Linked DNA regions of Ovis aries. The protein of the gene in region 1 purifies or fractionates together with the protein of each later gene. This does not show direct contact. Links are inferred from orthologs where the notes say so. Each region holds a gene or a part of one and is shown in the gene's direction. Other genes may lie near its edges.

Evidence for each region.
Region 2: the proteins of KRR1 (region 1) and DDX18 purify together in Homo sapiens (affinity purification with mass spectrometry; 3 studies listed by BioGRID and IntAct, with this or other methods). This does not show direct contact. The link is inferred for Ovis aries from reciprocal best matches to the Homo sapiens genes KRR1 and DDX18.

What each region holds. Positions count from the first base shown.
Region 1 is NC_056056.1:111,527,687-111,532,202, reverse strand, and holds part of KRR1 (KRR1 small subunit processome component homolog), read left to right. Parts: intron 1-538; coding exon 539-711; intron 712-2,284; coding exon 2,285-2,419; intron 2,420-2,602; coding exon 2,603-2,728; intron 2,729-2,815; coding exon 2,816-2,899; intron 2,900-3,976; coding exon 3,977-4,033; intron 4,034-4,516. UniProt on the Homo sapiens protein: Part of the small subunit (SSU) processome, first precursor of the small eukaryotic ribosomal subunit.
Region 2 is NC_056055.1:183,038,116-183,042,520, forward strand, and holds the end of DDX18 (ATP-dependent RNA helicase DDX18), read left to right. Parts: intron 1-231; coding exon 232-288; intron 289-611; coding exon 612-789; intron 790-1,249; coding exon 1,250-1,392; 3' UTR 1,393-3,191; downstream 3,192-4,405. UniProt on the Homo sapiens protein: ATP-dependent RNA helicase that plays a role in the regulation of R-loop homeostasis in both endogenous R-loop-prone regions and at sites of DNA damage.

The sequences.
Region 1 (4,516 bases):
ATAGTTTTGGTGAGAGTATATGGAAGGAAGTCACGTGAAAGCTCTAAAACCCTATAGTAGTGAATATTAACTGAAAGTACACACTGGAATCAGTTTTTGAAAATTTTATGCATACACACATACAAATATATATACACATAGGCTCCACTTCAGTTGAGTCTGAAATGTTACTTTATTTAAAATAGTAATGTAAACCAAATAGTCTTTGGATCTTCAACTCTAAAATAGTGTAATGCAGTAGAAGTTTGTGAGTATCCACTGTGTGCCAAGTATATGCCAGTAACTGTGGACCCAAGGAGCAGAGTCCCTGCCCTCAAGGAACTTTGTCTGTGACGTGACTGGAACACATACTACAGATAATTCTAATACAGTATGTTGATAATGACAGAGGCATGTTCTTGGACTGTTGAATAATATAAAAAGCAGGGAAGAAGGAAATGCATGAGAGTATTGGGAAACTTGTGCATGTATGCGTACAAGTGTTCAAAAACCTTCAAAAGAAGTTAAATCTGATGTGTAGATTTTCCCTCCTCTGTAGATGAATCTGAACTCCTCACTGTTCCGGATGGTTGGAAGGAGCCAGCTTTCTCCAAAGAGGACAATCCCAGAGGACTCCTGGAGGAGAGCAGTTTTGCAACTTTGTTTCCGAAATACAGAGAGGCTTACTTGAAAGAGTGCTGGCCGTTGGTACAGAAAGCCTTGAATGAACATGTATGCATGTTTTCTGTATTGCTCTGAGATTGTTATTGCTTGTATCTTTTAAGTGAGTGAATGTGTGATGATGGACTTCTGTGTAAAGGTGCTAGCATAGCTGTTTAATTTGATGCGTTTGGTATTTTAAACACACTAGATAAGCATTATCCTTACTGTTCATTTGTTCTTAGTTTTGTGAATAACAGATTACTTGGCAAAATTCACATGCTTTTACATTTTTAGGGGATTTAAATTTGTAGGGGTGTCTGAACCTCACTTGGAATCTCCAGATTTCAGAGTGTCTACTCTCTGCTGTGATGATTGCCGTCCACCTTTGCGGTTTTGAGCTGAGGCATGCTCCTGGCATTGTTTAACATCTTATTGTAAACGAAAGACGATGGATGTGAGCGACTTTCCTGTTTGTTGTTCCTGCCTTGCTCCTAGAGCAGTGTATTTGATTTTATTTTTCAAACTGGATTGAGACCCCTTAGAGAATCAGGAAGTCAATTTAATGGCTATAGTGAGCCTTAGGAAAAAAAAATCACATGTGGTAAGGATAAGGATCATTTTATGAAGCGTTTGGTTTGTCTCTGTGTGTTTGTGTACACCCTAGGTTGTTATTGAAAATCTGTTTCTCAGCTGTGGGACTGCTCTAGAGTCATTTGTGCCCACCAGGCATGAGAGTGGTTAGCAAACCAGGCCATATTTTAGAGCTGTCTATATCTGGGATTAGACCCAATTTGTTTCTGTGTGTGTGTGTGTTTAAACTGATAGACACCTGACCTTATGTTTAATTGTTCATCATTCATTGTATTGAAATATTCTTGAGGTCATGCTCACAAGTTAGAAAATAGCATTTTTATTTGCTTTGTTGAAGTCTGGTTCTTTTGAAAGTTAATGCATAGATTCTCTAGTTACTGCTTTTATTTTTAAACCTATGACAGTTTGTTTTTACTTTGTATTTAGCTAATGTTGTTGTTGTTGTTTAGTTGCTCGGTTGTGTCCATGGACTGCAGCCCACCAGGCTTCTCTGTCCATGAGATTTCCCAGGCAAGAATACTGAAGTGAGTTGCCATTTCCTTCTCCTGGGGATCTTCCCACCCCGGAGATCGAACCTGCGTCTCTTGCATCTCCTGTATTGATGGGCAGATTCTTCACTGCCAAGCCACCAGGGGAGAGTTTGAAAGGGAAAGTCTATTTTCACTCTAGGGGGAAGATTTTAGATTAGAGCAACATCTAGCCAGGGTAGCGAAATTACAAGCTTTACATTTTTACCTTTAAGTCTTAAGTATGACCTCATTTTGATTGATGTGTTTTTTTAGACTGGAGGTAATATTTATTCCAGTAAGTGTAAATTATCCTAAAGCCAACTATAAATGTTTTCAATTACCTGAGTTTCTTATATTCTTTGAAATCTAAACGTAATCAAGTATCCCTTATTTACATTAACTTTCCAGCTTCTTCAAGGAGAGAGTTAAAGGATTTTGAGATATCTTAATGGCACAGAAATTAATAGTTAGGCTAGGACAGGCTCTGTAATCATCTAAAATTGAATTCATCTTCAGATAACTGTTGTTCGCTCCTTTTGTAGCATGTTAATGCAACCCTGGACCTGATTGAGGGCAGCATGACTGTCTGTACTACAAAGAAGACATTCGATCCATACATCATCATTAGGGCCAGAGACCTAATCAAACTGTTAGCCAGGAGTGTTTCGTTTGAACAGGTAACTTTAGAATTAAATTTAGACTTTGCTTTATGTGCAGCAACATTAGAGACAACATATATCACTGCCGCCACCCCCCTCCCCACTAAAACGTTTTCATTTTTGTGCTTTAATTTCTTGGCTTGGAAAACATTTGTACTTGTAAAGAATGTTGATGAGCTATTTTCTTCATTTTCCCAAAAGGCAGTACGAATTCTTCAGGATGATGTTGCATGTGACATCATTAAAATAGGTTCTTTAGTAAGAAATAAAGAAAGATTTGTAAAAAGAAGACAACGGCTTATTGGTCCCAAAGGATCTACTTTGAAGGTACTTTTTATTAGTGAAAAAGTATGTCTTCCTCTGTTGTTAGTTTTTCAGTGTACTGAAGTGCAACTTTTTGCTCTTTTGATATAGGCATTGGAACTCTTGACAAACTGTTACATTATGGTTCAGGGAAACACGGTTTCAGCCATTGGACCTTTTAGTGGCTTGAAAGAGGTGAGATTTATGCTCTTAAATTAGTTTTAGCAGAGAATAAATGAAAGAATATGGGTATACTATAATAGTTCATTGGATAATGTATTGTTTCGTAATTTAAGTGAATTGTGCTTTGTTTGATTTTCATTAGTAAATTCTTCATGTAATTTGAGGGAATAGCCACTGCTGAACCTTAGCATATCACGGCTAACTTTTGGTAACCACAGAGAGATTCATTTCTGAATTCATCATTACTTCCCCTACTACAGGTTTTAAGTGGGTATTTTAAGCTCTCAGTCTGTAGCAAACATTAGAAGACACATGGGTTTGAATGACTGGAGAACTGAGCAGATCTGTTCTTCGCAGTAACAGCCAGTAGAGGTCAGGCCCAGAAGACTTCTTTTAAGATGTATTTTCCTTGAGTTTTAATATGTTAATGTTTCGTGAATATTAGTTTGTCACATGTTATGAGAAAATCTATAGAGCACATACTGTTTCTGTAAGCTCCTTTTGAGGCTTTTGTTGTATGTATCTGGCTGTGAGCTCTTACTTCCTTTCCAGGGCCTTTAATAATACTTCTTCTGGACCTCTTTCTCATAAGTATCTGCTTTTTTCACATGGCGCAACAACAACTTAGGCGTTTTGAGTATTTCATAGTTTTGTGGAGTCTAAGTATATTATTTAATTCTTACAACAGATCCTTAAGGTGGTTTTATTTCAAATGTATTACAGAATTCAAAAGCTGAAGTCAGGAGGAAAATTAAGTGACTTTCCTCTATGAAGTCCCAGCATTTGCTCACATATTTTCTAACTCTAAGTCCAGCTCTCTTTCCCTAAATTGCACAGCTCCAGACTGTTGTGTTAATTCTGCGTATCACTTTTTTAGCAGTAGAATTGAGAGACTTCATTGTATCCAAGTGAGGTTAACTATTATGAAAGATCCAGAAGCCACTCAGAACAGTTGAAGGGACTAGTATATCCAATTTCGTAGCCATTGCCTGGTTCGTAGGTTATTTTGCAATATATTAATCCTCTTCTACCTAGTTCACTAAAATCTTCATTATAAATAACTGATTCATTTTTCTTTGCAAATTTCAGGTTCGGAAAGTAGTCCTAGACACTATGAAGAATATTCATCCAATTTACAATATTAAAGTGAGTGTTCACTGTTCATTAGTATAACAGTGGTTATCAAATTGTTTTTAGCTACAGAAACTTTTCTTGAAAATAAATCTTTTATGAAAGTCTAATATACAAAACAGATAAAGCAGAACTATTTGGGTAGAGTGAAGCCCACTCAACACTATCCCAGTCCTACAGTTCCTTCTTTGAACTTTGAGGAGTATTGTGTGAAAGAAAGCTGTTGAAGGGAGCTCTGTAATGTAGTGATTCAGTTCTGATACAAATAAAATATGCTTCACAGAATTTGTTGTAAGTGAGTAAGTGAGGTCGCTCAGTCATGTCCGACTCTTTGCGACCCCGTGGACTGTAGCCCATCAGGCTCCTCTGTCCAGGGGATTCTCCAGGCAAGACTACTGGAGTGGGTTGCCATTTGTTGTAGAGGGTACCAATTCAGTTTTCTTAGGCTAAGGAGCCCACAGACTGTATTTAAAAGTGTGATCTTTTAGAATTCTGCCA
Region 2 (4,405 bases), on another chromosome or scaffold:
AAGAGGGCATCAGTGCATCATTGCCCCATTCAGTTTCATACCTTTTCTTTGTGGAGGGTTCCATTCAGTGTGCATTAGGAGAGGAAAGGTGCACCTCTCCCACTGGCATTGGAAGACAGGGAAACAGGTGAAATTGAAATTCCACAAGCCTTTTCCCTTCCGTCTCTTCAGTGACTAATGAGCTGCGTCAGACCAACCCAGCTTTCTAACCTGCATGCTTTTATTTTCTAGGTTCCATTAAGTGAATTTGAGTTTTCCTGGTCCAAAATTTCTGACATTCAGTCTCAGGTATGTGGGAGGGGTGGAGGGCGGCGGGGGGCATCCCAGCCCTGCCTCTGTAGTCTCATTGACAGTCACTCTCCTCCAAGCCTCCCTTTCCATAAAGTGGGAAGTCTGGACTTGAGTGATCATTGCTGTGTCCTGCAGTGCTGGTGAGCACGTTCCTATACTGTCTACCTGGTTTCATTCTGTACCTTCCATGAATTTTGTCATTATTCTTACTGCACCCTGATTTTGCAGGCAGTACAAAGCTTGGAGCAAGTGTTTTGGAACACATGTTATAGATGAATTGTGCTTTCTTGTATTAAAGCCAATATTTATTTCTGTTTCAGCTTGAAAAACTGATTGAAAAGAACTACTTCCTTCATAAGTCAGCCCAGGAAGCATATAAGTCATACATTCGCGCCTATGATTCCCATTCCCTGAAGCAGATCTTCAATGTTAATAACTTAAATTTGCCTCAAGTTGCTCTGTCGTTTGGCTTCAAGGTGCCTCCTTTTGTTGATTTGAGTATCCTTTTCTGTGTGCTTATGAGTTTGTCCAGGAACTATGGGCCAGAAGCCTGACCAGGGGCTTTGGGGCTTAGCACTCAGGTTGACTTGTGCTCTGGCTGAGGCCTGGGGCCCAGGTGGTCATCTCAGTCACTGACCTTGTGTCAGTGCTTGCATGGGGTAGTCAGGGTGGAGACGACAGAGATGAGACAGTTTATGGCTTTAAGAAAGGACATGGAATTTGAGTGGCAGAGCAAGCCAGGCAAGTTGTAATATGTTAAGTATTAACTGGGTTTAAAAATCCTACCTGCTAGTTTTAGCCCCCAGTCATGTGGCCACTCCTGATTCGAGTGTTCACATTGTGGTAGCTCAAGGAGGGGTGGTGGGGCCCCTGGTGTACAGCTGACTGGTTCTCCCTTGGGTGGTGATTTGGAGTTGTCTGTCTTTGTGTTGTTGGATTTCCTTAATGCCCCCTTTAGATGTGAACAGCAATGACGGCAAAGTTAGAAAGCGAGGCGGTGGCGGTGGATTTGGCTACCAGAAAGCCAAGAAAGTCGAGAAGTCCAAGATCTTCAAACACATAAGCAAGAAGCCATCTGACCGCAGGCAGTTTTCTCACTGAAGACATATCTTTGTCCTGAAATGGATGTTCTTTTTCTTGCTGTAAGAAAGGAATTTGTGTTACTTTAGGATTTGGACTCATCTAACGACACGACTGGACTGAACTGAACTGAACTGAACTGAACGAGTACGAGATGACTTGGGTCACAGGCACTGAGGTTTCCAATGAGTCTCCTTTTTGGGGATATAAAACAGGTTGCAATGTCTTGATTGCCCAAGAGCAAAGCAAGGCATCTTTCTAGTCTTTGTGATGATAGGATATTTCTAAGTGTAAATCTTTTTTTTCCCCCAAACTTGTTACTGTTTTAATGTAATTCTTTTGGTACCTTGCTTTCCTAGTGTCTGAAACCTTTTGTGACTTGGATTGCTGTGTCAGCCTGCCAGAAAGGGCAGATGACCAGACACTGGACAGGTGGTGGGGGTGCAGAAAAATTGTCTCAATTGTTTTTTTTTTTTTTTTTTTTTTTGGTTTCAGTTTTTTCTTGGATCTTAACAGTAGTTTTTTGACCCCTCCTGAAAATATTACTGTGTGAAAGGGCAGAGAGCTTTGGAAAATCCCTAAGAAGCACCTTCAGTTAAGGGAGCACTGGGCTTTTATATGCCAGACTTTAAAACAATGAGCCTTTCTCCATTTTACTTTTTCAGGAGTAAGAAATACGGGTTGTCATTGTTATTTGAATAAAGCGCCTCTAGCAGTCCTGACATTGAGGGTGGTGGTGGTGGTGAAGTCGCTCAGTCGTGTCCGACTCTTTGCGACCCCATGGACTGTCACTTACTAGGCTTCTCCGTCTATGAGATTCTCCAGGCAAGAATACTGGAGTGGATTGCCATTTCCTTCTCCAGGGGATCTTCCTGACCCAGGGGTCGAACCCGGGTCTCCCGCATTGCAGGCAGACGCTTTAACCTCTGAGCCACCAGGGGTGGGGGAAGTCCCAGATACTTCAGTTTCACTTACAAGTGTAGTCTCTGCTGTTCTGCATTTGGTAGCTTAGCAGACTGAGGCACACAGAACGGCGCCACTCCTCAGGCAAGTTTGTTTCTTTGAAGTGGTTTCAATTTTGGTGAGTCCTTCCAACTTGAAATACTTCCAACAGTATTTAGAAGGCAAAAGCATCTTTTTGAGGAAAACTGCCTCTTCCAGATCCGTGAAACGAAAATAGATTTATGATGAAAACTAAAAATGAGCACACAGCAGAATAGCAAAGTCAGTGGTTTAGTCAGATGGGGTTTTTTGTTGTAGGAATTTTTGATTTCTGGTGTGTTTGATGTCTTATTTCTAGTGTATTTTATAACTACAAAATGGTTACCATGTTTTGTAGTAATTTAAAACCAAAGTTGCTAACATCATTTTACTGTTGTACCAGTTAATATTCAGATTCCTATTAAATGTGCTAAGAATATTAAATGTCGAAGAAACAAGTCTGGTAAACAGCATTCCAGTAGGAAAAGAATGATACTATCCCACATCTGGGCTTGACCACCGTCCCCCTTGCTGGACATGTGCTGGGCTTCAGACCTTGTTTGCTGGACTCCTGGCATTTAATACCTGTTTCTCTTTACAGTGACTTCTTTGTTTCAGAAATAATCATGTTTCAAAAAGTACACAAAAGCAGAGAAGAATATTTAATCACTGAACAGAAGTAAATACTGTTAATATTTTGATACTTAATCTTCCAGTGTTTTGTATATGTACTTTTTAATTTTTCTTATCAAAAGTGAAGTTAAATGATCCTCTACCCTGTATTTGTAACCATCTTGTTTCATAACTTATTTTCCTGTGTCATTAAACAATTACATCAACTTTGTATCATTATTACTGCTTTCACCTTGCTTGGTCTGGCCTGGACTTGAGCCCTGGATGCCTGCCTCTCCCACCCAGACTGGCTCTCCTTGTTACACTGTATCTGGTGTCCATTGGTCTTGCCATTTGTGAGAAAAGCATATAAACAGAGGGTGGAAAGATTATTCTTACTCCCATAATGGCTAACCTCAGGACTTGCTGGGAGTCCTATATGAGATTATGCTCACAAAGCCAGTCCCGCCTAGGCACATCCAGACAACCTGCCTGGCCAGGATTCACATGGGAGGGAGCCAGTCACCAGAATCTTCAAGGCCCATTTGCACACAGAAGACCGCTTAAGTCCCTGTGCTAAGAGCACAGCTGCAGGTGGCATGTGTGGGGCCATTGATTTGACAAATAGGATTGAGTGCCCTCTTTATCCAGCGAGGCTGGGCAGCACAGGCCAGGAGCCAAGCAGATCACTGTATCCAAGTAGGAACCTTTAGGTCCTCCAGGCTGCAGGTGGTGATGTCATTGCAATTTCTAGATTTCTTTTGGTCTTACTGCCCAGGTGCAAGCTGAATTCAAATTAAAAAGTGTCTTGTTTACTCAAAAATGCATAGTAGTTAAAAAAGTCTGGAACCAGAATGCCTGGATTCCAATTCCAGTTCTCTTTCCTGGGCCTATTAAATGAGTAGAACAAAAAAAGTACCAAAACCTACTTTGTAAGGGTGTACGAACTGAATGCAGTAACGTAAGGTACTAGGGTGGTGCCCAGTGTAAAGTACTCAGTACCTGTTGGCTGCCTTTATCAGTACATAAATCCTACACAGAAGGCCTGCTGCCCAACAGCAGTAGGTACACAGACTCTGAAAAGCCTGAACCAGCTTGGGCCTTCTGGAGAATAGACCAAGGATTTTTGACAGTCCAGGTCCCCTGGAATTCCGATCAGACCTAAGTTTTGGGAAGTGCTCCAATCCTGTCATACCTTCTTAGGACAACCATCAGGTAGATTCATGCAGTTTTCAAGGCTACTCTTCAGACTGGGTGTTCTGGTAGAACACTGACTTCAACCGTAAATCTTGATGAATTAAGAGCCTGCTAGGTGCCAGAAGCTGTGGAGGACACACATGCATATGGCTGAGCTCTTAGGAGCCCTGGAGGTCTAGAGAAGTCATGTGCTGGCGATGGAATGAAACACCAACACTGCAGAGTGGTTTGAATCTTTTTACTT